Oryctolagus cuniculus: one gene and its partners. The protein of the gene in region 1 binds, or shares a complex with, the protein of each later gene. Links are inferred from orthologs where the notes say so. Each region holds a gene or a part of one and is shown on either strand. Other genes may lie near its edges. The genes, in order: CUL1, TRIM21, FBXO10, BTRC, FBXO11, FBXL17 and CCNF.

What was found.
Region 2: CUL1 (region 1) and TRIM21 share a complex: the UniProt entries of both Homo sapiens proteins name them as parts of the SCF(SKP2)-like complex. The link is inferred for Oryctolagus cuniculus from reciprocal best matches to the Homo sapiens genes CUL1 and TRIM21.
Region 3: CUL1 (region 1) and FBXO10 share a complex: the UniProt entries of both Homo sapiens proteins name them as parts of the SCF(FBXO10) complex. The link is inferred for Oryctolagus cuniculus from reciprocal best matches to the Homo sapiens genes CUL1 and FBXO10.
Region 4: CUL1 (region 1) and BTRC share a complex: the UniProt entries of both Homo sapiens proteins name them as parts of the SCF(BTRC) complex. The link is inferred for Oryctolagus cuniculus from reciprocal best matches to the Homo sapiens genes CUL1 and BTRC.
Region 5: CUL1 (region 1) and FBXO11 share a complex: the UniProt entries of both Homo sapiens proteins name them as parts of the SCF(FBXO11) complex. The link is inferred for Oryctolagus cuniculus from reciprocal best matches to the Homo sapiens genes CUL1 and FBXO11.
Region 6: the proteins of CUL1 (region 1) and FBXL17 are in contact, whole or in part, in a cryo-EM structure (PDB 8UBT), measured with the Homo sapiens proteins. The link is inferred for Oryctolagus cuniculus from reciprocal best matches to the Homo sapiens genes CUL1 and FBXL17. Residues at the interface, in NP_001357589.1 of Homo sapiens: Thr54, His143, Arg147, Asp150, Glu151; in NP_001156787.2 of Homo sapiens: Pro325, Ser327, Leu330, Asp358, Phe359, Gln360, Asn387.
Region 7: CUL1 (region 1) and CCNF share a complex: the UniProt entries of both Homo sapiens proteins name them as parts of the SCF(CCNF) complex. The link is inferred for Oryctolagus cuniculus from reciprocal best matches to the Homo sapiens genes CUL1 and CCNF.

The regions. Positions count from the first base shown.
Region 1 is NC_091434.1:174,808,388-174,811,887, forward strand, and holds part of CUL1 (cullin-1), read right to left. Parts: intron 2,265-3,500; coding exon 2,214-2,264; intron 2,025-2,213; coding exon 1,934-2,024; intron 1,294-1,933; coding exon 1,130-1,293; intron 1-1,129. UniProt on the Homo sapiens protein: Core component of multiple cullin-RING-based SCF (SKP1-CUL1-F-box protein) E3 ubiquitin-protein ligase complexes, which mediate the ubiquitination of proteins involved in cell cycle progression, signal transduction and transcription.
Region 2 is NC_091432.1:62,639,570-62,643,525, reverse strand, and holds the start of TRIM21 (E3 ubiquitin-protein ligase TRIM21), read right to left. Parts: upstream 2,801-3,956; 5' UTR 2,642-2,800; intron 1,331-2,641; 5' UTR 1,283-1,330; coding exon 875-1,282; intron 70-874; coding exon 1-69. UniProt on the Homo sapiens protein: E3 ubiquitin-protein ligase whose activity is dependent on E2 enzymes, UBE2D1, UBE2D2, UBE2E1 and UBE2E2.
Region 3 is NC_091432.1:200,314,158-200,317,184, forward strand, and holds part of FBXO10 (F-box only protein 10), read right to left. Parts: intron 2,921-3,027; coding exon 2,607-2,920; intron 435-2,606; coding exon 253-434; intron 1-252. UniProt on the Homo sapiens protein: Substrate-recognition component of the SCF (SKP1-CUL1-F-box protein)-type E3 ubiquitin ligase complex. Mediates the ubiquitination and degradation of BCL2, an antiapoptotic protein, thereby playing a role in apoptosis by controlling the stability of BCL2.
Region 4 is NC_091446.1:28,367,130-28,371,198, reverse strand, and holds the end of BTRC (F-box/WD repeat-containing protein 1A), read left to right. Parts: intron 1-3,234; coding exon 3,235-3,441; 3' UTR 3,442-3,569; downstream 3,570-4,069. UniProt on the Homo sapiens protein: Substrate recognition component of a SCF (SKP1-CUL1-F-box protein) E3 ubiquitin-protein ligase complex which mediates the ubiquitination and subsequent proteasomal degradation of target proteins. Recognizes and binds to phosphorylated target proteins.
Region 5 is NC_091433.1:155,062,257-155,065,756, reverse strand, and holds part of FBXO11 (F-box only protein 11), read right to left. Parts: intron 3,186-3,500; coding exon 3,079-3,185; intron 2,998-3,078; coding exon 2,886-2,997; intron 2,800-2,885; coding exon 2,693-2,799; intron 2,612-2,692; coding exon 2,474-2,611; intron 1-2,473. UniProt on the Homo sapiens protein: Substrate recognition component of a SCF (SKP1-CUL1-F-box protein) E3 ubiquitin-protein ligase complex which mediates the ubiquitination and subsequent proteasomal degradation of target proteins, such as DTL/CDT2, BCL6, SNAI1 and PRDM1/BLIMP1.
Region 6 is NC_091445.1:30,492,115-30,495,614, forward strand, and holds part of FBXL17 (F-box/LRR-repeat protein 17), read right to left. Parts: intron 3,099-3,500; coding exon 2,956-3,098; intron 1-2,955. UniProt on the Homo sapiens protein: Substrate-recognition component of the SCF(FBXL17) E3 ubiquitin ligase complex, a key component of a quality control pathway required to ensure functional dimerization of BTB domain-containing proteins (dimerization quality control, DQC).
Region 7 is NC_091450.1:32,842,571-32,846,070, forward strand, and holds part of CCNF (cyclin-F), read right to left. Parts: intron 2,719-3,500; exon of another isoform or gene 1,738-2,718; intron 1,667-1,737; coding exon 1,567-1,666; exon of another isoform or gene 1,506-1,566; intron 1,438-1,505; exon of another isoform or gene 1,065-1,437; coding exon 937-1,064; intron 330-936; exon of another isoform or gene 139-329; intron 1-138. UniProt on the Homo sapiens protein: Substrate recognition component of a SCF (SKP1-CUL1-F-box protein) E3 ubiquitin-protein ligase complex which mediates the ubiquitination and subsequent proteasomal degradation of target proteins.

The DNA of each region.
Region 1 (3,500 bases):
CAAAGTCCATTTAACCCCAAAATACACATACACAAGGAACTATTAATATTTCAAGTATAATACTTCTGAACCAATCCATTTTTTCTTAGATTCTGAGCTATCAGTTTTTGTTGTTATTCTAAGCCCCAATTATAACTGCTATCTCCTATGAGACAACACATTCAGAACACCACAAACTGGACAGGACTTTATCGCTTATTTTCTCACATCATACAAGAGGAGGCGAGTCTGCAGTCCCTCACCAGGTGCACAGGGAATAAGATCAAAGCAGCCACCAGACCAACAAGACCCAGACTCCCTAGAAATCTAACTCATCTAGTTCAAGGATCAGCAAACTTCCACGTAGGCCAGATCCAGCCTACCACCTTTGTTTTTCTTCTTAAATACAGATGAAGTGGTACTGGAACCCAACCACACCCATTTATTCACAGGATGTTACGTCTGCTTTTGCCTGCAGCACCAAGAGAGACCACATGGCCCACAATGCCTCAAGCATTACTATCCAGTCTCTGGCAAAAAACGTTTGCTGACTCCTGACACAGGTCTTTCCTCAGAGCCCAAGTCCAGGATTCCTGTATTTCTAAGAAAGTGAATACAGAACAAATCTGTTAGAACTTGGTCATATCACTCGGTACAGAAAAGGACTGGAAACCCTGGTTTAATCTTAGGTCTTGTCCCACATGAGAAACAGGATCCTGCTGTGTCAGAGACTACTCCTCTACCTTCAACCTGAAACTGTTATAGATTCTCAGGGAGACATGTTAGAAGAAAGCAAAAACTTACTCACAAATCTGAGAATATTTGTATCTGAAAATGTTCTCACTAACATGGTAAGACCGAGACAACCCTAAGATATTTACGTTCTAGGAAAAATAGTTCAAAACAAAAGTCACACAGCTTTTATATATCTGTAAAACAGCCAGAACTTTCAGGCATGGTCAGCAAACAAATTTATAAAAAGCTCCCTGGAGAATTAGAAGAAGTATTTACACCTGCTGAAGACATGCTAGGACAACAATGCCCAACAAATGACTTGTGTGAAGAAAAGTGCATATGCTATTTTAAACAGTAACTCATCTGAATGGCACATTTTTAGCTTGTCTACTTTAAGTACTATATTTAAGCTTACCTTTTTCATATATTCGGTAACTGGGTTCTGTTGCAAGAATTCAGTACTCTCTCTGGTATAAAATCTTTCTGTGTCAGCCAAAAATTGAGATTCAAAGGATTCTTTATACACTGTTAACGTAGGGCCCTTTGCAAATGCATCATCTTCATTCAGCCCCAATTCCACTAGAAATAAATATGAGCTGCATTTCAATTACCCTATTTTTTGTTGTATTTCACAGAATATACTTAGATAAAAGATTAAGTTAGGCATAAAGGTAAATGTGAATGGCAGAGCATAAGGTAATTATTATTCACTAATAATAAAGTGCATCGCTCAATAGAAGAAAAAAGCCAGGACACACAAAAATAATTGACTCATACCAGGTATCCTTTAGAATTATCATGAAGTACATTTGGAAAACTTCGTATTTCCAAAAGCAATAAAAACCTCTAATTTAAACTTTCAAAGAAATACCATGCTATCCAAGGTTTTAAATACTGTGTTAACTTATCAGTTCCTCAATGTTTCAAGCTGATAGATTTCTATTTATCATTCAGTTCAATAGCATTCTATCATTAGCCAGTAGCTAATTATGAGATCAGAAAACTCAAATGTCTATTTCATTAAAGTTTCTCAAAGGCATAAGGATCAAACAACTTTTAAGAGGGTAAAATCAAGTAAAATATCACCAAATAGGAATTATGAGTACCTCTGTAAATGCTAACAGTCCTGATGATATTAAATGTTTTTTAAATGAATCTGGTATGGCACTGTTGTGACTGTAATTTGACATGAAAACTCCAAATAACTGAAATTATTTACCATAAGACTGTACAACTCCACTAATCAGTCTTGTATTGATGGTTTCACCATTTCTTTCCTTTTCAATCAGTTTTAAGACAGCATTTGTTACCTTTAGAAAGGAAACATGAAATATATTAGAGATTACAGTATTTAATATTTAATATCCCATGTCCCTTAAACATTCAGAGCCATTAACAATGTGAGATAAGGGATACTCTCAAGATGTTCTAAAGGACAGAGGCAGGAAGCTGGCAAAGGATCATAAAAGAGAACACACAAAGTTCTTCAGAGTGGGTACCTGTTTATTCAATGGCCTGAACAGACAATCTCTCCAAGTCACCAATGCAAGCTGGACAGAAAAAAAGAAAAAAAAAAGTGTAAAATGCCTATACTCACTGTTTTCCCAAGACATCTGAAGTCACAGGAAATAACCTGAATACAAGATGTCATCAAAATGTCCAGATTATAACCTGGCAAAAATTTATTACCATGATGAAATCAGACTACTGCACGAGCTAGAACTTCAAAAGGTATCAGCTCACATTTTAAGTTTAAAGGAAATTTTGCATTTAGAGAGACAATTCATACTGGCTTAAAAGACAACAGTGGATTCAATCTATGAATGTGTTCCCTGGATCAAATAATTTTAATATTTGACCTAAAAGAATAAAGATAATTCCATTTATCATCATGGTTTCCTAATAGTCTGCAAAATAAATTATAGACTATAAAAATCTATCAACTTTCAAGTTCTTTTTTGTGGTGATGGTATACAGATGCACACAAATATAAATAACTTTAAATTTTACATACTTCAAATGGATGTGGTTTACTATAGATTATTCAGATTCCTACTTCTCCTCGCATGTGTTTATGCATATGTGACTTCTTTTTAATGAAAACATTCAAAGATGATATGGTTTATTTTATCCATTTCTCTAAACTCCCCACAGGAGTCATGTTAGCAAATTAACTAATAATATAAAACATTCTCTGAAACAGGAATATTAGAATTCATACATGGGTATTATTTGTTGGGAGATTATCCAGTTAAAATGAAATTCAGATTTTTTAACACAAGAATACAAAATGCTGAGAAGTTCATTTAAATATAAACACAATCAGCCTTACTTTTCCCAAATTTAACTAGAGGTGCAACTGGGTTTATATTCATATTGTATTTATGAAAAGGTTATATGCAAATTTAATCTATATAAAGAACTTCAAAGTAGCAATTCTGCTAAAAATGTAAGAAATAACATGAAAGCAATATTAAAGGAAATATTAATAACACATAATATACACTCGAGCCTAACATAACAAGGTAGAATGCGTGGGTTTTGAAGGTAAATTAAAGAAAGGTGAGCCATGACAGACATACTCTAGAAAGTACCCTCTACTTCCTCTGTACTTTCTGTAACTATTGTTAAACATAGTACAGGAGAAGTTAAAAACTAGGGATTTTTAAGAGTCTGTGGTTCAAGAGAAATCTCAGACATGGAAAGCCAAGACACTGTGGCAAAAAATGACCTCAATGAAAGATCTGAGGGAGACCTTGGTGGAAAGAAGAGGCCATCAAAGGAGG
Region 2 (3,956 bases), on another chromosome or scaffold:
ATCTATTTCCAACTTCTCTGCCAACTCCTGCTGGCATCTTAGCTTTTTTAATGCCACCTGGAGCTTTTCCTGCCAAAAACAAAGTAACAGGTTAATCCCAACGAAACCAAGAAGTAGGGTGGAGTGGCTTGGGGTGGGAGATGATCATTCTGGTTCTTCAATAAAGCCTAAACACAGAGAAGGAGGGAGGACTGGGGTCTGATTAGGGTAGGCATTTGGTGGATAGGCAGACTGTGGAAAAAGCCCAAATCATGCGTCTTACAAAAAAGAACTACTGGCCGGCGCCGCGGCTCACTAGGCTAATCCTCCGCCTAGCGGCGCCGGCACACCGGGTTCTAGTCCCGGTCGGGGCGCCGGATTCTGTCCTGGTTGCCCCTCTTCCAGGCCAGCTCTCTGCTGTGGCCAGGGAGTGCAGTGGAGGATGGCCCAGGTGCTTGGGCCCTGTACCCCATAGGAGACCAGGAAAAGCACCTGGCTCCTGGCTCCTGCCATCGGATCAGCGCGGTGCGCCGGCCGCAGCGCGCCGGCCGTGGCGGCCATTGGAGGGTGAAACAACGGCAAAGGAAGACCTTTCTCTCTGTCTCTCTCTCTCACTGTCCACTCTGCCTGTCAAAAAATAAAAAAAAAAAAAGAACTACTGGCATGGCAGGATGAGGGCATTTCTCACACCTAATTTATCAGGAGTCCACAAGGAAACATGGACTTCATAGCATTTGCACAGAGTGTATCCACTACTCTAATGAGAAGGTTGTGTTTAGACTGGACATGAAAGGAGGAAAGTATCCCTCTTTTCCCAACCTCTGAACTCCAGAGGTAACAAAACTCACCCAGCCCCTCTCCTTTGGATCTGTCCATGTCTCTGCGAAGGCCTCACCTGGTACTCTTGAGCAGCCGCGTCAATAGGGACTGTGTGGTGCTCACGGTGTTTCTGGTATTGGGCACACACCCAGCAGAGGATTTGCCCATCTTCCTCACAGAACAGGTGAAGTTTCTCTCCATGTATCATACACCGCTGCCCTTGTGGCTCATCCTTGGCAGCCTGGCTGTTTTGTTTAAGGTTGTCCACCACGTTGGCTAGATGCCGATTGGGCCGGAGGTTCCTGAGCAGAAAGTGATTCCGGCACACAGGACAGATACCACCCCCATCTTTCCCAACATTAGAGATACATTCCTGGCAGAAGCTGTGACCGCATTCAATGATCACGGGCTCCACCATGGGATCTAGGCAGATGGCACATGTGACCTCCTCCCACATCATTGCCAGGGGCGTTGCAGAAGCCATGGGAGTGACAGTCCTTGTTGGGCAGCACTGTGCAGACCTTGGGGTGCTCTGGTGGGGGAAGAAGGAACAGAAAAGAAGAGATCTGCATGACAGGAACACAATAATGCAAAGGAAAACAAGATGAGCTGGTGGTGCCAAGCAAGAGAAGACAAGAACATCAACCCAAACAGCAGGAGCCTCTCCTCCACAGTCTGGCCCAGTGATCCTGTTGGAAGAAGGGAGACAGAGTCCTCCAACGAGGAGAAAACGGGGGAGAGACTCAGATAAGTCTGCTGACAATTCTACTTCATCATGTCCATCTGGGTTACATCCTCAGAGCCTAGGTTGGAGGAGGTAATCATAGTATGAGCAGTCATTTACCAGGTGCTTTCTATGTGTCAGAGAGGAGCTATGTGCTTTGTATAATATCTTCACTACTGTTCAATATAATGGCAAGAGTCTCTCTCTGTTCTACTCCCATATATATGAAATACATAAAAATTCATGGGGGGGGTGGCACTGTAGCATAGTGGGTAAAGCCGCTGCCTGCAATCCATATAGGTGCTAGTTCCACTTCCGATCCAGCTCTCTGCTATGGCCTGGGAAAGCAGATGGCCCAAGTCATTGGGCCCCTGCACCCATATGGGAGACCTGGAAGAAACAGTAGGCTCCTGGCTTCTGATAAGCTCAGCTCCACCACTGCAGCCTTTGGGGAGTGAACCAACAGATGGAAGAGCATGCGGTCTTTCTCTCTGCCTCTGCAACTGTGCCTTTCAAATAAAATAAAATCTTAAAAAATTCATAAGGGGTCTTCAAAAAGTTCACAGAAAATGTATACTACGAATGGGTGCATGGATTTCCAATTTTTTGCACCAAAAGTAAATTCCATTTCCATTAACTTTGAAATATTCTGCTACAGATGTGAATATGTCTGTGCACTTCCTCTAGGGCAAAGAATCTTGAACCTAAATAAGTTTCTAATTGAACACCCTAAACAGCCTGCCCTTTCCCTTTCTAGCAGGAGATTGGGGACCAGTTTAGTAGAGTGAGGATTCTTCCACAGGGGGCTCCTCTGGGCACCCACCAGCTCCCTTACACCCAGGGTCACCTTTTCCCTTGGCCCAGTTCAGGTACCTGCACTACAGCAGCCTGAGCTCCACCCATCCCTGTGGTTTGTAAGTCACACTCAGCCCAGCCTCCTCTCAGGCAGACCGGCCAGTGCTGGAAGAATGGCTGGGCTTGGGTTGAACGAGTCGGGGCCAGTGGGGTTGAAGGCTCTAGGGTTAGTGAGTAGCTGGAAGAGAGAATCAGAGGCAGGGGAGAGAGACCCTCCCCCACCCAGGCAAGAAGGGGTACTGTGGTCCTGCCGGGTTCACTCACCTGATCAGGCGATTCAACAGCTCTCTATTTCACTTTCAATTTCCTCTAAGAGGCCAGTCTGAACGGAAAAGGGAGGAGAGTGGGAGGAGAAAGGGGAGGGGCCCCAGGGAGGAGGATGAGGGAGGGGTGGTGGGAGGGACAGGGCAGAGACTGGGCGGGGTCAGGGCGGAGGCAGGGGATGACCGGGTGTAGGGGAGAAGGAGCAGGGCAGAGAAAGAAAAGTGGGAGGAGGGAAGACAGAGCCAAGCCGGGGGAGTTGTCACAGCCCAGTTAAACCTCAGCAACATGTCATCTGGGCGTACACTCCTCCTCCTGTCCTTGTCATCTATCTTAGTGAAAAAAATCGATGCTTTGACACCGGCCATCACCTCGTACCTGAATGCTATGTGCACCTCTGGGAGCTGCTATTCAGGAGGTTTGGATGCAAAGGATGCCTGGCTCTCTCCTTCACAGGCCTCCACCACCTGCTTCCTGACAGCCGAAACAGTTGCTTCCCATCGGACTCATGTTTCTGGTGACCTCCAGGGGTGGGAGATTTATTCCTCAGGACTCTGAGGCGGATATCACATGGGGCAGTGGTAGGAAGGGAGCTGACATTTTATTGAGCACCAGCTGGGTTCTTGTCATTGAGCTAAGGATATTTTCAGGTTATATCATTTTTATTTTTGATATTTAAGATAAAACAAATTTCATGTAACTCATCTACAGATTTAGGAACCTAGTGATACTTCTCATCCTTCTCTCCCTCCTTCCTCTTATTCCCTCAATTTTTAGGATGATCTTTCAGTTTACTGTATAACTCATGAGATTAACTCTTTAGTGTAGGGTTAAATAGAAAAAAAACCACTATTCTACAGTATGTTATTTTAATATGAGACATTTACCACCTTAACCATTTTCAGTTTGCCATTGAATGTCAATGAGTGCATTCACCTTGTTGTGGCACCATCACCACCATCTGCTCCAGAACATTTTCATCATCCCAGGCTGAAATTCTGTACCCAGACAATAACTTACTATTTCCTTTCTCTCAGGCCCTGGCAATCACCATCTGCTTTCTGTCTCTATGAATTTGACTACTCTAGGTGCCTCATATAAGTGGAATCAGCTTTAGAATATGTACCTTCACAGCTGGCTTATTTCATTAATATAACGTCCTCAAGGTTCATCCATGTTGTATCACATGTCAGGATTTCCTTCCTTTTTAAGACTGAACATCCCATTGTATGTACATTTTATTTATCCATTTGTCTGATGTTGGATACTTGGGTTCCTCCTACCTTTTGACTATTGAGAATAATGTTGCTATGTTAGG
Region 3 (3,027 bases), on another chromosome or scaffold:
CAAAAGGGGAGATAGTAACAACTAGATTTCACTAAGGCTCAGAGGTGTCTCAGTAACTTGCCCAAAGTCACACAGCCAGTACCTGGCAGAGATGAGACATGAAACCAAATACCCTGATGCTCAGGTCTGTTCCCTCCCAGGGAGTCAGGTACAAGTTCTCTGGCCAGGCCGCCGGGGCAAGGGCAGCCGGGTCACTAGGCCTGCGTCTGGCTCCCCAGCGACCTCATGGTTCGGGCAGCGCTGGGCACTTACTTCTTCCTGAAGACCAGGAACTTGTTGTTCTGCATGACACAGTCCCGGTTGTTTGCGATCTGCTGGAAGATGGTCTTGCTGGTCTTGCCCTGGAAGATGATGTTATCCTGCACCAGGGCCTTGGCGCGGCCCCGCACTGCGATGCCGTAGGCCCGGAATGAGTGGATCCGGTTCTTTATTACCTGGGAGAGGCAGCCACAGCTTGTCAGACCTCAGGGACTCAGGCAAGTGAGTCACTTACATGGTAAACTATAAAACCGAGGTGGTAAAACATTCTAGGTGGGGGCCAGGGCTGTGGCGTAGCAGACAAAGCTGCCACCTGCAATGCCGACATCCCATATAGGCGCTGCTTCCTATCCAGCTCCCTGCTGTAGCCTGGGAAAGCAGTAGAAGATGGCCCAAGTACTTGGGCTCCTGCACCCACATGGGAGATTGGAAGAAGCTCTTGGCTTCAGCCTAGCACAGCCCTAGCCATTGTGGCTAGGGAGTGAAACAGCAGGTGGAAGATCTCTTTGTCTCTCTCCTTTCTCTCTAATGCTTTCAAATAAATAAATGTTTTAAAAAAAAAAAAAGACAAAGACAAAAGAGAAAGAGTTATTTCCGGGTCTCCCACGGGAGTATGGGGCCCAAGGACATCTGTTGTCTTCTGCTGCTTTCCCGGGTGCATTAGCAGGGAGCTGGACTGGAAGTGGAGCCATCAGGACACTGGTGTCCGTATGGGATGCCGGCACTGCAGGAGGCTGCTTAACCCTCTGTGCCACAGCACCGGCTCTGACTTTCAAATAAATAAATAAATCTTAAAAAATAATAAGCTAGGTAGGTCAGCCGAGAGCCAAAGGAACTCAAGGAAGAGCAAGAAGACCAGCCTGGAGGAACCAGGGAAAGCTTCCTGGAGGAGGTGATGTGTTAGCTGTCAGAGTTACCAGGTGCAGAGCAAGGGCGAGTTATTCCAGGAAGAAGCCACGTGCAAGGGCTGGTAGAGAGGAAGCTGGTGCCGGAAGCCAGGGCTGCTGAGACCCAACTGAGGCCGCGGTGTGGCCCTCGCTCCCTGTTTCCACAGCACTCGGAAGCCAAGTCGAGGAGTTCTCTGCTCCTCGCCTGTCACTGCTTGTGCAGCTGCAGAGCTGACCAGAGCCTCTGGGGCCCGATTCCACCAGGGCAGGGACCGGGTCCGTCGGGGAAGCCGTGCAATGGCCCCAGCGCAGAGGTCTGCACACGGAGCTCGGCGCTCACGGTGTGAGGCGCAGGCAGACAGGCGAAGGAATGGGTGTACGGCACTGCGGGAAGAGGGGCTCTGCGAGGGGCAGCTACCCCGACGTCCTAAGAGGCGCCTCAGACAGCTGGAGGACTCGGAAAATTGGGGCAGGGGGTTTCCAGCGCACGTGGAAGAGCATGTGCAAAGGCCCTGAGGCAGGATGTCTATGAAGCACCCGCTGCATGCCGGATCGTGCACAGATCATTCTCCTGGGGAAGGGAGCTGAAATAGTTCTGACCCTGACCCGGGACCAGGAAGACGCCTCAGGAGGCTTCTAGCACCCCCGGCCTCCTGTGGGTGAACTCTCACTCAGCCTTCAGGGCCCAGCTTGCGCGTCCCTTCCTATGTGCGGCCCCACTGGCATATCCAGGGGCACGTCTTGGCAGGAGGGACGGCATCCCCTGCAGAGCTGGGAGCTCGTGCTTCTGCGCTGGGCAGAGGGGCACACGCCGCAGCCGTGCACGCGCCCTCACCTTGGTGTCGGGCACACGCCGCAGCTGTGCACACACCCTACCTTGGTGTCGGGCACATGTCACACAGCCGTGCACGCACCCTCACCTTGGTGTCGGGCACACGCCGCAGCTGTGCACACACCCTACCTTGGTGTCGGGCACATGTCACACAGCCGTGCACGCACCCTCACCTTGGTGTCGGGCACACGCCGCAGCTGTGCACACACCCTACCTTGGTGTCGGGCACATGTCACACAGCCATGCACACACCCTCACCTTGGTGTTGGGCACTCGTCACACAGCCGTGCACATGCCCTCACCTTGGTGTTGGGCACTCGTCACACAGCCGTGCACATGCCCTCACCTTGGTGTCGGGCACACGTCACACAGCCGTGCACGCGCCCTCACCTTGGTGTCACACAGCCATGCACACACCCTCACCCTGGTGTCGGGCACACGTCACACAGCCATGCACACGCCCTCACCTTGGTGTCGGGCACATGTCACACAGCCGTGCACATGCCCTCACCTTGGTGTCGGGCACACGTCACGCAGCCGTGCACGCGCCCTCACCTTGGTGTCACACAGCCATGCACACACCCTACCTTGGTGTCGGGCACATGCCGCAGCCGTGCACGCGCCCTCACCTTGGTGTCGGACCTGGGCAGCAGCTGCAGCCCGCTGCCCCGGTTGCCGATGATGTCGTTTTCAATGACGACTGTGCTGTCGCCTTTGGTGATGACGCCGTGGCCTCTGTTGTCATAGATGCCATTTCCCCGGAGCTCCACCTTGCACTGGGCCTCGACCTTGACCCCACTCTGGCGGTTGCAAGAGATGCTGTTGTTGGCCACGCGGGTGAGCTGGCTGCTCTGGGCCACGGTGATGCCCCGGTCGCCATTGGCATGGATTACGTTGGCGGTGACGTGCAGGGCCTCGCTGCTCTGGACGTAGAGTCCTGAGGCTACGGGCAGGGAGAGCACAAGGTGGTCCCAGAGTCAGCCCTGACAACACGGGTGGGCAAGTCTGCCCTGAATCACACGCCCCGGTGGGCGAGCCTGAGTCGGCTCT
Region 4 (4,069 bases), on another chromosome or scaffold:
TATTAATTTCAGAGAGCAGACTTCAGAATAAGGACTCTTATCAGGGGTGAAGATGGGTTCTCAGATCACAGTGACCACAATGGAATGAAACTAGAAATCAATAACAGGAAAATAGAAATAGTTGCAAAATGCCAGAGCATCCATGGAGATTAAACAGCATCCTTCTGAGTTACATATGGGTCAGAGAACTTTGAAAAGTATTTTGAAGGGCTAGTGCTGTGGCACAGCAGGTTAACGCCCTGGCCTGATGCACTGGCATCCCATATGGGCACCGGTTCAAGACCTGGCAGCTCTACTTCCAATCCAGTTCTCTGCTATAGCCTGGGAAAGCAGTAGAAGATGGCCCAAGTCCTCGGGCCCCTGCGCCCATGTGGGAGACCCGGAAGAAGCTCCTGGCTCCTGGCTTCAGATCGGCGCAGCTCGGGTATTGCAGCCAATTGGGGAGTGAACCAGCAAATGGAAGACCTCTCTCTCTCTGCCTCTCCTCTCTGTAACTCTGATTTTCAAATAAATAAATAGATCTTTAAAAATATTTTGAACCAAATGAAAATGAAAATATGGCTTATTTAAAAATTGTGGGATGTAGGGAAATTTATAGCATTGAATGCATGTATTAGAGAAGAAAGCTGTGAAATCAATAAAGTTTCTACTTGAGTAAACTAGAAGATCAAATTAAATCCAAAGTAAGCAGAAGAAAAGAAATGAAAAAAATTAGAGCAGAAATCTATGAAATAGGCAAGAAAATCAGTAAGACCAGAGCTGGGAGAGTGGCCATTTAGCCAAGCAGTTAAGATACTCAAATCCTACATCGTAGTGCCTGGATTGGACTCTTGTAATTGGGTTCCTACCATCCACAGGAAAGACCTGTATTAGGTTCCCTGATTCCAACCTTGCCCCCAGGCCCAGCCCTGGCCGTTGCAAGCATTTGTGCAGAGAACCAGCAGATGGAAACTTTGTCTCTCTGTCTCTGTGAGTGTGTGTGTGTGTGTGTGTGTTTGTGTGCGCACGTGCCTGTCAAATAAATAAATTAACCAAAAAGCTGGTTTTCTTTAAAAATATCAATAAAATTGATAAGCCTTTAGCCAGGATAAGGAAAAGAGAGATTAAACAAAATTACAGTATCAGCAGTGAAAGGGCATCGCCACAGATTTCATGAACATTTAAAGGATAATAGAGGAGGCCGGCGCCGTGGCTCACTTGACTAATCCTCCGTTTGTGGCGCTGGCACACCGGGTTCTAGTCCCGGTTGGGGCGCCGGATTCTGTCCCAGTTGTTCCTCTTCCAGTCCAGTTCTCTGCTGTGGCCCGGGAGTGCAGTGGAGGATGGCCCAAGTGCTTGGGCCCTGCACCCACATGGCAGACCAGGAGGAAGCACCTGGCTCCTGGCTTCAGATCAGCGCAGTGCACCGGCCACAGTGGCCATTGAGGGGTGAACCAATGGAAAAGGAAGACCTTTCTCTCTGTTTCTCTCTCTCTCTCACTGTCTAACTCTGCCTGTCCAAAAAATTAAAAAAAAAAAAAAAAAGGATAATAGAGGAAATACTGTGCACAGCTCTTGATGCCCGCAGTTTAATCGCCTATGTGAAACAGAATAATTCCTTGAAAGTTACAGTGCCACAGTTCACACATAAAGCGGTAGATAATCTGAACAGGCCTGTATTTATTAAAGAAACTGAATCAGTAGGTAGCAGCCTTCTAAAACATTTTGAGACCAGGCCCCATTTAAGACAGAAATTTCACCCATTTTCTAATTTCTTCTTTAGGATAAAAGGAGAAAGAATGTTTCCTAACCTGGCCGGCGCCGCGGCTCACTAGGCTGATCCTCCGCCTAGCGGCGCCGGCACACCAGGTTCTAGTCCCGGTCGGGGCGCCGGATTCTGTCCCAGTTGCCCCTCTTCCAGGCCAGCTCTCTGCTGTGGCCAGGGAGTGCAGTGGAGGATGGCCCAAGTACTTGGGCCCTGCACCCACATGGGAGGCCAGGATAAGTACCTGGCTCCTGCCATCGGATCAGTGCGGTGCGCCGGCTGCAGCGGCCATTGGAGGGTGAACCAACGGCAAAGGAAGACCTTTCTCTGTCTCTCTCTCTCTCTGTCCACTCTGCCTGTCAAAAAATAATAAAAAAAATTAAAAAAAAATGTTTCCTAACCCACACTGTGGAGCCAGCATTACCCTAATTCCCACACCAGGCAAAGGTACCACAAGAACAACTTGGTACAGACCAGTATTTCTCACGAACATAGGTGCTCATGTTTGAGCGCCTTTAGATCTTGAATGTAAAACGGGGTAAGCACTGTGGTGCAGTGGGTTAAGTTGTTGCTTGGGATTGAGTCCCATCTCTACTTCCCATCCAACTTCCTGTGAATGCACCTGGAAGACTGCAGAAGAGAGCCCAGGAACTTGGAGTTCCTGGCTGCTGGCTTTGGCCTTTGCAGATAGCAGTTACCTCTTTCTCTGTCTCTCCTTCTCTCTCACTCACTCTCTCTCTATCAAACTGCCTCTCAAATAAATAAATAAATAAAACTTTTTAAAATTATTTTTAAAGACTTATCTGAAATACAAAATAAAAATGTATAAAGAGAATGGTACACTATGATCAGATAACATTTATCTAGGTACAATATGCAAAGCTGCTTTTAACATTAAAAAAATCTAATAATGTAATCTACCACATTGACAGGCTAAAGAAGAAAAATCACATGAGCACATGAGTAGATGCAGTAAAAGTGTTGCAACACCCATTCATGATAAAACTCTGAGCAAGGGAGTAGCCTTGGGATGCAGCAGCTTAAGCTGCCACTTGCAACACTAGCATCCCGTATTAGAGCGCCAGTTCAAGTCTCAGCTGCTCCACTTAACATTCCAGCTCCCTGCTAATGCACTTGGGAAAGCAGCAGGTGATGATGCAAGTACTTGGGCTCCTGCCTCCCTTGTAGGAGATGCAGATGGAGTTACGGGCCTCTGGCTTCAGTCAGACCCAACCCTAGCCGTTGAGACCTTTTGGGAGTGAATCAGCAGATGGAAGATACCTATTTTTTATTTTTTTTTAAGATTTATTTATTTGAAAGGCAGAGTTACAGAGAGACAGAGAGAGAGAGGGGTCTTCCATCTGCTGGTTCACTCCCCAGATGACTGAAACAGCCAGAGCTGCACCAATCAGGAGCCAGGAGCTTCCTCCAGACCTCCCACACTGGTGCAGGGTCCCACAGACTTGGGCCATCTTCTGCTGCTTTCCCAGGCCACAGCAGAGAGCTGGATCAGAAGTGGAGCAGCCGGGACTCAAACCAGTGCCCATGGGGTGCCGGCACCGCAGGCAGCAGCTTTACCCGCTACACCACAGCGCCAGCCTCAGGTATCTCTTTCTGTCTCTGCCTCTTCCTCTGTCACTGTACCTTTCAAATTAAGAGGAAGAAACAACAGAAAACCAGGAATAGAAGGGATCTAATAAAATACCGCTAAAACTTGCCATATAAATGCTTTTTATTGACAGTGTTAGTTGTTGGTAAGAATGTGGAGCAACTGGAACTCTTATACTGCTGGTGTGAGTGTAAATAAACTGGCACAGCTTTTCAAAAACTTTCATAATGGCATCTATCAAAGTAAACATGTACCTACTCCATGGCCAGCAGTTGTACTCCTAGGAGAAATGAGTACATGTATCCCTCAAAAAACATGTGCAAAAATGTTCGTAGCAGCTTTACTTACGATAGCCATAAACTGTAATCAGAACGTGTATGTCCACCAGCAAGAGAATAATAGATCAATTGTAGTACTCTGTATGGTGGAATATCATCCAGTAATACAAAGAAAGTAGACTACAGTTTTGTAGATATAATAATAGGGTGGAATCTTGTAGATACAGTGTCCGATGAAAGAAGCCTTCAAGAGAGAATATAGTCTGTGCATGTCTATTTATATGGAATTCAAGAACAGTCCAAACAAATTAATGGTAGGTTTGGAGTGAAGCTAGTGTCAGCTGGTAGGGGCCAGAGATATTTCAGGATGCAGGAAATGCTCTGCTTCTTGGTTGGGGTGCTGGTTTCTGTCAGTGTTGTGCTGGAACACTCCTGTCA
Region 5 (3,500 bases), on another chromosome or scaffold:
TCTTTTCTCAAACTATTTAGGTCTTATTAGCACTGACAAAAGGGTACTCCTTCATGCTCTAATTCAATTTTTAAAAAGAGCCCTGATTTAGGGTTCCAGGCACAAGCAATGAAAATAATTTTCTTTCCCATTGACAGCTTGTATACATGACTTCGATGTTCCTAGGTTGCTTGGTTAACAGAACAGCAACTAAACCTCACCATCCACCTATTTGCCACCATGTTATTACCTCCTTTCCCATCTCTTCCATCCGCACAACAAAAAACTGTTGCTACTGGGGGCCAGTACTGTGGCCTAGTGGGTAAAGCTGCTGCCTACAACACCAGCATCCCATATGGGCACGGGTTTATGTCCCGGCTGCTCACTTCCAATCCAGCTCCATGCTAATGTACCTGGGAAAGTGGCAGAAAATGGTCCAAGTGCTCGGGGACTCAAACAGCAGATGGAAGCTCTCTCTCTCTTTCAAATAAATAAATATATAAATGTTGGAAAAAAAAAAAAAAAAAACTGTTAGTAGTGCTGTGCTTGGACTTCGAAAATGATGCCTAACAAAACTTCTGCAGAACAGTTTTGGAACTGACATTTTATTATCACTGTGTTTCCTATTAAAGTTCTGCCATTTAAAAAAATTTAAGAGGAAATGTGGCGCAGTGGGTTAACACCCTAGCCTTGAAGCACTGGCATCCCATATGGGCACCGGTTTGAGACCCGGCTGCTCCACTTCCAATCCAGCTCTCTGCTACGGCCTGGGAAAGCAGTAGAAGATGGCCCAAGTGTTTGGGCCCATGTACCCGCATGGGAGACCTGGAGGAGGCTCCTGGCTTCAGATCAGCGCAGCTCCAGCTGTTGAGGCCAATTGGGGAGTGAACCATCACGGAAGACCTCTCTCTCTCTCTCTCTCTGCCTCTCCTCTCTCTGTGTAATTCTTTCAAATAAGTAAGTCTTTAAAAAATATTGAAAGTAATGAGAAAAGAAAAATCAAAGATGTCTGAAGTGTAAAGACCAAATCCTGTTTTACTTTAATTTTTATGTATACTTACTTTTATTTATTTGTCTGCATTTCATAAATACAACTTCAGGAACATAGTAACCTGCCTTCCCACCCATCTTCCTCTTCCCTTCCTATTCCAAGTTTTATTTTTTTAATAAGATCTATTTTCAATTAACTTTATACACAAATGACTGACTATTCTAGGTAAAGAGTTCAACACTGGGGTGGCACTACGGCATAGTGGGTAAAGTTGTGGACTGCAGTGCTGGCATCCCATATGGGCACCGGTTCAAGTCTTGGCTGCTTCTCTTCCAATCCAGCTCTCTGCTTATGGCCTGGGAAAGCTTGGGCCCCTGTATCCATGTGGGAGACCTAGAAGAAGCTCCAGGTTCCTGGCTTTGGATTGGCCCAGCTTTGGTAGTTGTGGCCATTTGGAGAGTGACCCAGCAGAAGGAAGATCTCTCTTTCTACCTCACTGTAACTCTGCTTTCCAAATAAATAAATCTTAAAAAAAAAAGAAAAGAAAAGAAAAGAAAAGAGTTCAACACTTTGTTTGAGAAAGAGAAAGAAAAAGAGAAGGAAAAAAAAAAAAAATCCCTGTTCCTCAATAGTCCAGACAAGAGCAGTTCAAAGTCATTGCATCTCGCAGTTAATTTCGTTTTTTTCCTTCATTTTTTTCTTTCCTTCTCTTCCTTTTCAGAAACTTAATAATCTTTAAAGAAGAACCCAAGAATGACACATCTTTTGTGAGCACTTAAGACATAACTTATGAGGTACGGCGCCACGGCTCACTAGGCTAATCCTCCACCTTGCGGCGCCGGCACACCGGGTTCTAGTCTCGGTCGGGGCGCCGGATTCTGTCCCGGTTGCCCCTCTTCCAGGCCAGCTCTCTGCTGTGGCCCGGGAGTGCAGTGGAGGATGGCCCAAGTACTTGGGCCCTGCACCCCATGGGAGACCAGGAGAAGCACCTGGCTCCTGGCTTCGGATCAGCGCGGCGTGCCGGCCGCAGCAAGCCGGCCGCGGCGGCCATTGGAGGGTGAACCAATGGCAAAAGGAAGACCTTTCTCTCTGTCTTTCTGACTGTCCACTCTGCCTGTCAAAAAAAAAAAAAAAAAAAAAGACATAACTTATGCGACTTAAGAATATCCTCCACTTAATACACTAAAATGAAGTAATTTTTAGAGAACAAGTTCTAGTATTATAGTTACACTTACATTTTATAACTAACAGAGATTACATCTTCTTCTCAAATAGCACATCAATTCTCTAAGGATTTCATTGCATCTACATAGATATGTTTGATGCATGAATTCATAAAATGAATACTGCATATCCATTCTAAAATACCTAAATTTCTTTTAAACCTATATTCTTTAATTCAGATACTATGGTGATGAGAAAATAATGATGAAACACAGCTAAACTTGAACTGATACAGAAGTCAACTTTTCTATTAAGAATAAATGTGCTTAATGTTCTTACCATGCCATGATCAAATGTGAACACACCAACATCACGTCCATGATGAATATGATTTCGTCTAATGATTGGGTTTCCATGATTTTTAACCCAAATCCCAGCTAACGCATTATTGGAAATTTCATTATCCTCATATATTCCCTACAACAATAACCAAGAAATAAACATTAGTACAGCTTTAAAAATAGTATTTTAAAAGAGAGAAACAAAATTTTAAAATACCTGTGCATGATCTGTTATATAAAGCCCAACATTTTCACAGTCGCTGATGTTACAGTGCTTGATAGTGGGACATGCTCCTTGACCACTAACACATACTGCAGAACCAACTGTAAGGAAAAAAATCTATTAAAAACCCTATTGGACAACAACACAGTGACTCAATTTTATTATGAAAGATAAAGGAAACACTAACCTGTACATGTACTTCGGATGATACAGTGATCAATAATAGGGCTACAATTTACTGTAATCTCTAAGCAGTGGTGTGCATTGTGGTGCTGAGCAGATTTGTCATCAGGGTTAAACTGAAAAATAGAAATTTTATTTGCAATAACCACTGCCTTGATGATTTCAACATGTATATTTTAAATATTAAAATTTCTTACCCTTATTGTCATATATCCAACATAAGCATCTTCAGAACCTTCCATAAAAACGAAGGTTGAATCTCTAGTGTTTTCAATTATAACTTTGTCTGCTACTTTTCCTGGTGCTGTAGAGAAGATATTTTAAAGCATATTATCTTAACTCCATTTCAACAAATAAATACTTTTATGGAAGGGAAACTTTTTAAAAACTTAAGTACTGAGTTGTAGGGCTAATATTCAGACTATTGGTTATATATGTTTCACCAGCTTTTATTGTAAGCAGCCATATTTAACAATTAATTTAATGTGATTAGCAATAAACTCAAATCCATATTAAAAATACTTCTAATAATTACAATTCTAAGTGGTTTCTTGTGGAAACAAAATCATGACTAACAAACAGTAGCTCCAGAAAAAGCAGCTCAGAAAAAGAGAAAAAA
Region 6 (3,500 bases), on another chromosome or scaffold:
GATTTCAACATTGTTTTGCACTAAATACACTTATTTTTAAATTGGTTTTAATAAAGTAATTGAGGCACCCTCGTGTACACAACAGATATTGTGGGGAGCAACTGGGAGCAACTCGGACTAGACTAAGTTACTGGAATTAAGACTTATTTCTATGCATCTGCTCTCCCACAATATGGCGCTGAGAAGGGAGAAACAGCTTCTACACAGCTGCCTCCAGTTCAACCAATAAACTGTAGGACCTACTCCTGATTGGAGGAGAGCAGCGTACTCGGCGTGTGGGTAGCAGAGTTGGGATTGGTGGAAGAGGACTATAAAGGAGGAGAGAGACAACATGCACCAGGAACATCTAAGAGGAACATCTGAAGGAACACCTGTGCAGCCCCAGAGAGAGCCGGCCAGTGGTGTGCCGCTCCCCCGCGGAAGTGGGGAAAGTGGCCAGGGGGAGCGACAGATATTAGATATTATGTCCAGCTCCAGGTCCTCCCACACTTGGTTTGCATGGGGAACACTGGCATGTTAACCATATTGAGTTTTCCAACCCGACAGCATCATATGTCTCTTGTTTATCTAAGTATTCTGTAATTCCTTCAGCACTCTTAAAAATGTCAGCTGTAAGATGGGTCTTCAAAAAATACCATGGAAAATGTGTATTTTGAAATAGCAATGCATGAATTTCAAAAACTTTTGGCCCCCCAAATAAACTTACCTTTTAATTCCATTTTTGCACAAACTTTTTCAAGTAGCCTTATGTAAGTTAACTCATTCAATGGCTCACCATCCTACAAGACAGGTAGTAGCACCTGTGTCACGTTAGGCATGAGGAAATGGACAGTGAGGGCCAACCTGACTACAGAGCCCAGATGTGCGCCTGCACTGTGGCTCCAGGGACCATGTCTTCCTTGTCTACCAACCTCTTTCCTTCACTACTCACATTTCTCTTTGAATCTCACTGATATCTGAAAATCTGGAGATGAATGGCAAAATACAACCTTTGAAAGCTGAATAGCTACTTTAGGTTTCCATCCAACTGAACCAATGACGGGCCTCACTGTGTTTTCTGTGCACCCTGTGTGTGGCTTGGAAACGTCTTTGTTCTCATGGAACCTCTCCTGTTTGGCTCCGAGATGCCTTAAGTCTTAAGGAGATGCATCTCCTTAAGGCCGGGTCCAGCATCCCCTGGGGTAGCTCTTGGCCAGATGACCTCACGCTAGAGCCAATGGGCTGCCGAAGCAGCTGTCTAGCTGGAGACAGGACTCAGAGGCCACCCGCAGAAAGGATAAGACCTCCAGGGATACTGCTAAGCAGAACAGCCTCTCCCTGTCTCATTCTGGACTTACCTGCACTTGCGCAGAAATGCACCCATGCCTAAACTTCCAATCAGTGAGATGTTGGTCTGCAAACCTGTCTGGGACACTCTGCTGTGTCAACAGGAACATACAACTTCTACAGTTCACCTCTGGGGGGTGGAGCTGCTCTCAACAGATCTACAAGGGTACGGAGTAGAAATCTGGTGATCTCTGAGAATGCTGGTAGACGCACAAAGACATGTGCATGCACACAGCCTTGTGTCTGTGGTCAGGCAGCACTCGCGTAGCAATTCCTTCCAGGAGCTGAGGAGCTCTGCTGTCCCTGTCCCGTGTTTCTAGCACCCTGCCCGTTGTGGACCCTTCAACTTGTTCTCAGAGAAGTCATTTGAAAGCAGCCGGGTTGGTAGAGAGCTGAGCGAGACTTGCAACCCCTGGGTCCCAGTGCTGTTGCTTAGTTACAGAGTAAGTCGCTTTCTAGGCTGGGCTAAGAATACATGCTAAAATCTCTCTAAACATAACTAATTGAAAAAGGTCCAGTATAAATTGGGATTTTAAAGCATTCTGAGCAAAGAATTCAGCCAATTAACAAAAATGACAAAGCACATAAGGGCTTTCAGCCATTCTTCTATTGCCCCTACATTTGCCCCATTTTAGAAAACGCCTGCTCTTGTAGAAGCACCCCTAATCACCACTGCCAAGGCAGCACACGTGTGTGAACTCGGGAACGGTGCCAGGATCTGCTGATCAAGGAAGCACCGGAAGTGGTCCGTTACCAAGGAAGCAGGCTCCATGGCCGGACACTGCTTGCAGATTCATCAAGGAGCATGGGACCCAGTCTTTGAGAGCCTGGGGTGAAGTCCTGGCTGAGCAGCCTGGGGCCAGTGCCTGGTCTTTCTTCTCCCCTCCACAGTGCACATAACCATTTCTAAGGTTTGTATGGGACGACATGGAAGTCACAAAGGGGAAGACACCCCTCGAGGGCCAGGGCCTGGGCATCTATATAACTGCTATTATCTTCCCAGTCATCACAGGCCCCCAGTAGACACTGTCCCTGGCCAGCTGCACAGGCCTTCTCCCCGGCCTCTGGGACCATGTCTCATCCTGTGCTAGGAGTGCCATCTGAAGTGTGGGGTCACGCCACTTCCCACACACCTCCTCCCTGGTCCCTTCTTGCCCACACAAGGCCACAGCTCATAGATGTGGGACCCTGAAATTACACACTTGTGAAAAACCAGTTGGGTATTTTTTTTCCACTCTATTGTTGTAGGAAACTGGAAACTCACAATTGAATTTTACTGTTAGACCCTGCAAATTGCAGTTTGCCATGCAACCTTTTAATTTTGGTCCATGGACTTAGGAGTAGCATGTCAACATCCAAGTTGACTGTGTGTATGATTGCATTTTCTTTCTGCTGAAGCACAAAACTCATTATTAAGTCAGAAATGCACAGGTTAGAAAATTAGATCAAAATTGCATATACATACATACACATACACATATACATACATACCTGTGTGTGTGTGTGTGTGTGTGTGTGTGTAGGTATAGATATGGATAAGGGAGAGAAAAGGAAAGGAAAAGGAATATGACATCAAGCTATTTACTGTACTGACAGGTAAAAAACCAGAACTGGATGGGCGACTCTTACTTTATCACATCGCATCAGCCCCAAATACCGCAGGGATTTGCTGCTCTGTGCAATCAAGGTGGCTCCTTGGTCTGTGATTTCTTTACACCATCCAACATCCACAGTCTCTATGGTCATGCTGTAGCGCCCAATAGCAATCAGTGCTGCAGGGAGGGACAGAGAGGCAGAAGCATTAATGCTGGCGGCATCGGGGACCTCCATCTAATTATGACGATTTCTCTCATTTCCTCACTAAATTTGTTCCTGAAATGTTGTGTGTAAATGAATGTTTTAGAAACCAAATTAAATTTGAAATGCTTTAGGAGAGCTTGCCCTATGACAAACCCTTTTGCAAAGTGAATAATCATTCCATAATTTCTCTTTCATTGGATATAACCTTTTATCAGTTTTACTCACTACAAGGTTACCTGCACTTTCAAACATTCATACCTACAGAAGGAATACATTAAAATGAATGACAGCTATAAGTTGCAACAAAGAAACCCCAGCCAAGATAACATTAATAATTGTTTTCAAGAAAAACCCGTGTAAACACCATTTTGAGG
Region 7 (3,500 bases), on another chromosome or scaffold:
CTCATGGCCATGTGCTCCCGAGAGGTTTGTGGGTAGAATGGGTGGAAGGCCTCGAGGGCAGGGGCTCGGCTGGGGGAAGGGCGATTTGGAGAAAACCGAGCCTGGGGCAGGGTGTGAACCTGGCCCACTGTGCTGCAGGACCCCACAAAACCACTCGGCCCCTCTGGAAGCTGGGAGGACGATGGCACTGTCGGGTGCCGAGAACAGGAGCTGCAGGCCAGCCACGCTTGGCAAAGGCGGCACCAGGTCTCCCTGGGAACGGACAGGAGGAGAGCAGGCAGACACAGGCGCACATGGGCAGCCCAGGAACCCCCTCCCGGAGTGCATGCGTGAGTACGTGTGAGTGCGTGCACATGTGTGCGTGTGTGCTGGGGGTCTCAGCCTGCGTGTAGTCAGCTTGGGAGGGGCCCAGTGCAGGGAGGCCTCCCATGCTTCCCAGGGAGGAAGGGGGAGCAGCACGCGGGCGTCTGCTGCCAGGGCCCGTGCCCCAGAAACCAGCTGTGGAGGTGGCCTTGCACGGCCCTGTGTGTGACAAGGGTGACAAACCACCCAGGGCCTGCCCACAGCAGCTCACGGGTGCGTGCGGGGAGTCAGAGGCCCTGCTCACGTGGGCTTTGCAGGATCAGTGGGAGTTCTTCAGGGCGGACAGGATGGGGGGGCTTATCCCAGGAGGCACAGCAGGGACACGGAGGCCGGACTGAGGGCCGCGGGGCAGTGGTGCGAGGGAAGGGGGTGGCGCAGTGCCATGGTCAGCTCAGCTTTGCCTGGCCAGCGAGAGGCAGCACAGAGAACGGGAGCCACCGGGGGAGGGCGGTCATCAGGAGGATGGCCCGACCCAGGCTGCCTGGCTTGAGCCCACAAACCCCCTCTGGGGGCCGCAGCGTGGCTGAGGGGCACAGGCCAGTCTACAGCACAGCCCCGGCCCGGAGCACTCACCGTTTGGTTCTCCTCCCAGACGGAGAGCTGAGGAAGGCGTGGATGTCTCCCGCGCTGACCAAGGACGCGGGCTCCGGGCTTTCCTGCTTCACGCCCAGGGCTGCACACAACTGGCTGTAGCTCAGCACCTGGGGGCCCGAGGCAGGGAGTGGAGAGGAGCCCACAGGCCGATGAGGCCCCCGACACCCAGGTGAGCGGGACAAGGCTCCTCCCTCTGGCCCCCGACACTCAGGTGAGCGGGAGGAGGCTCCTCCCCCTGGCCCCAGACACCCAGGTGAGCGGGAGGAGGCTCCTCCCCCTGGCCCCCAGACACCCAGGTGAGCGGGAGGAGGCTCCTCCCTGACCCCTGACACCCAGGTGAGCGGGAGGAGGCTCCTCCCCCTGGTCCCAGACACCCAGGTGAGTGGGAGGAGGCTCCTCCCCCTGGCCCCCAGACACCCAGGTGAGCGGGACAAGGCTCCTCCCCCTGGCCCCCCGACACCCAGGTGAGCAGGAGGAGGCTCCTCCCTCTGGCCCCCGACACCCAGGTGAGCGGGAGGAGGCTCCTCCCTCTGGCCCCCGACACCCAGGTGAGCGGGAGGAGGCTCCTCCCCCTGGCCCCCCGACACCCAGGTGAGCAGGAGGAGGCACCTCTTCCTGGCTGATCTCCTCGTAGCGCTTGTCTTCGAATCGCTGCTTCACCGCCGTCAGGGAGACTTGCCGGTAGTCCTTGGGGGCGTCGTCGTGGAAGCTGGAAACGGGCATGGAGGCAGACTCGTGAGCTCCCCACCCTGTCTTTTTTTTTTTTTTTTTTTTTGACAGGCAGAGTGGACAGTGAGAGAGACAGAGAAAGGTCTTCCTTTGCCGTTGGTTCACCCTCCAATGGCCACCACGGCTGGCGCGCTGCGGCTGGCGCACCGTGCTGATCCGAAGGCAGGAGCCAGGTGCTTCTCCTGGTCTCCCATGGGGTGCAGGGCCCAAGCACTTGGGCCATCCTCCACTGCACTCCCTGGCCACAGCAGAGAGCTGTCCTAGAAGAGGGGCAACTGGGACAGAATCCGGCGCCCCGACTGGGACTAGAACCCAGTGTGCCAGCGCCGCAAGGCGGAGGATTAGCCTATTGAGCTGCGGCGCTGGCCCCCACCCTGTCTTTAGCCTCAACTCACTGACGTGGAGGGGACAACACTTTCAGAGCCATCCCAGCCATAACAGGACATGCTGGGGAATAGTCTGGCGGTCCCCCCAACAACGGGCAGACGGCTCCCACGTGCCCAGCGTCCCCCCAGCAACGGGCAAATGGCTCCCACGTGCCCAGCGTCCCCCCAACAACGGGCAGACGGCCTCCACGTGCCCAGTGGTCTCTCCCACTCTCGAGTGCAGTGGATGGATGGGTGGGTCACCGAAGGCAATGTGGCCACACACCGGGATGTTATCCAGTCACATGCCACAACACGGATGAAGCAACGCATGATGGCAAGAGAAAGCAGTCAGACACAGGCCACGGACGGGGACTCCTTGGTATGGAACGCCGGCATAGGCAGATCCAGCGGCAGGAAGATTGATTACCAAGGGCCAAGGAAGCCGGAGTGAACCAAGCCTGGGGTTTCTTTCTGGGGGGTTGGGGTGGGGGTGCATGTGTGTATGTATGTGTATGTGTGTGTGTGTGTGTGTGTGTGTGTGTGTGAGAGAAAATGTACTAAAATTCACTGGTGGTGGTTACAGGACTCTGTATCTTAAAAGCTTACTATTAGACACTTTTTAAAAGTACGGTTCCTGAATAAAACCTTCCAGTTTCTCTTTGAACGCTGCCATGCAACGCTTTTGGTGTCCACTTGTTCCGGGGGTGAGCGGGGTGGGGGGGACAGACACGCTGCCCCTTGATCCTCACCCCCTTCCTCATCTGCCCGCTACAGAGGAGCCTGGCAGTTCAGGAGAAAAGAGCGGGAAAAGCCCAAGGCAGTGGGTCCCCCGACCGGATGGACCAAAGAGGGGGCTGGCTGCAGGGTGCTGCCATCCTGGAAGCCGGAGACAAGGCTCCGGTCAGCACAAGGGCAAGGGAGGTGCCCACAGGTGGCCAGGCGGCCACCCACGCCCAAGGCCCTGATCCCTCTGTGGGAGTGTGAACTTCCGTGTGTCAGGAAGTTCACCAGACCCAAGAGCTGCCTGGCTCCAGGGGTGACAGAGGCAGACATTCTGCGGTCACCAAATGCAGCCCACAGGCGGAGCCAGCGAGCGAGCGGGCGTCTGCTCAGACACCGGGGACGGGCCGGAGGGAGGCTCAGTGGGACAGTCTGGGGCAGCAGGGCAGAGGCAGCACCAGGCCACGGACCCCAGGGTGGTGAGGGGGACCCCAGAGGGAGGGGCACTAAGCAGCAGGAGGAGCAGAGAGGCTGAGAGGAAGGCGAGGGAAATGGCCGCAGCCGGAACCAACTCAGCACCAGGCAGTCCCTGCCCCGGCCCCTGCTGTTCCCAGCTCACTGCTCCACTAACGGCCCCGGCCCCGGCCCCGGCCCTGGCCCCGGCCGGTCCGCACTCAGGCTAGGAACAGCTGTGCCCTCTGCCTGTGGCCCGATGCTCTCGTACCC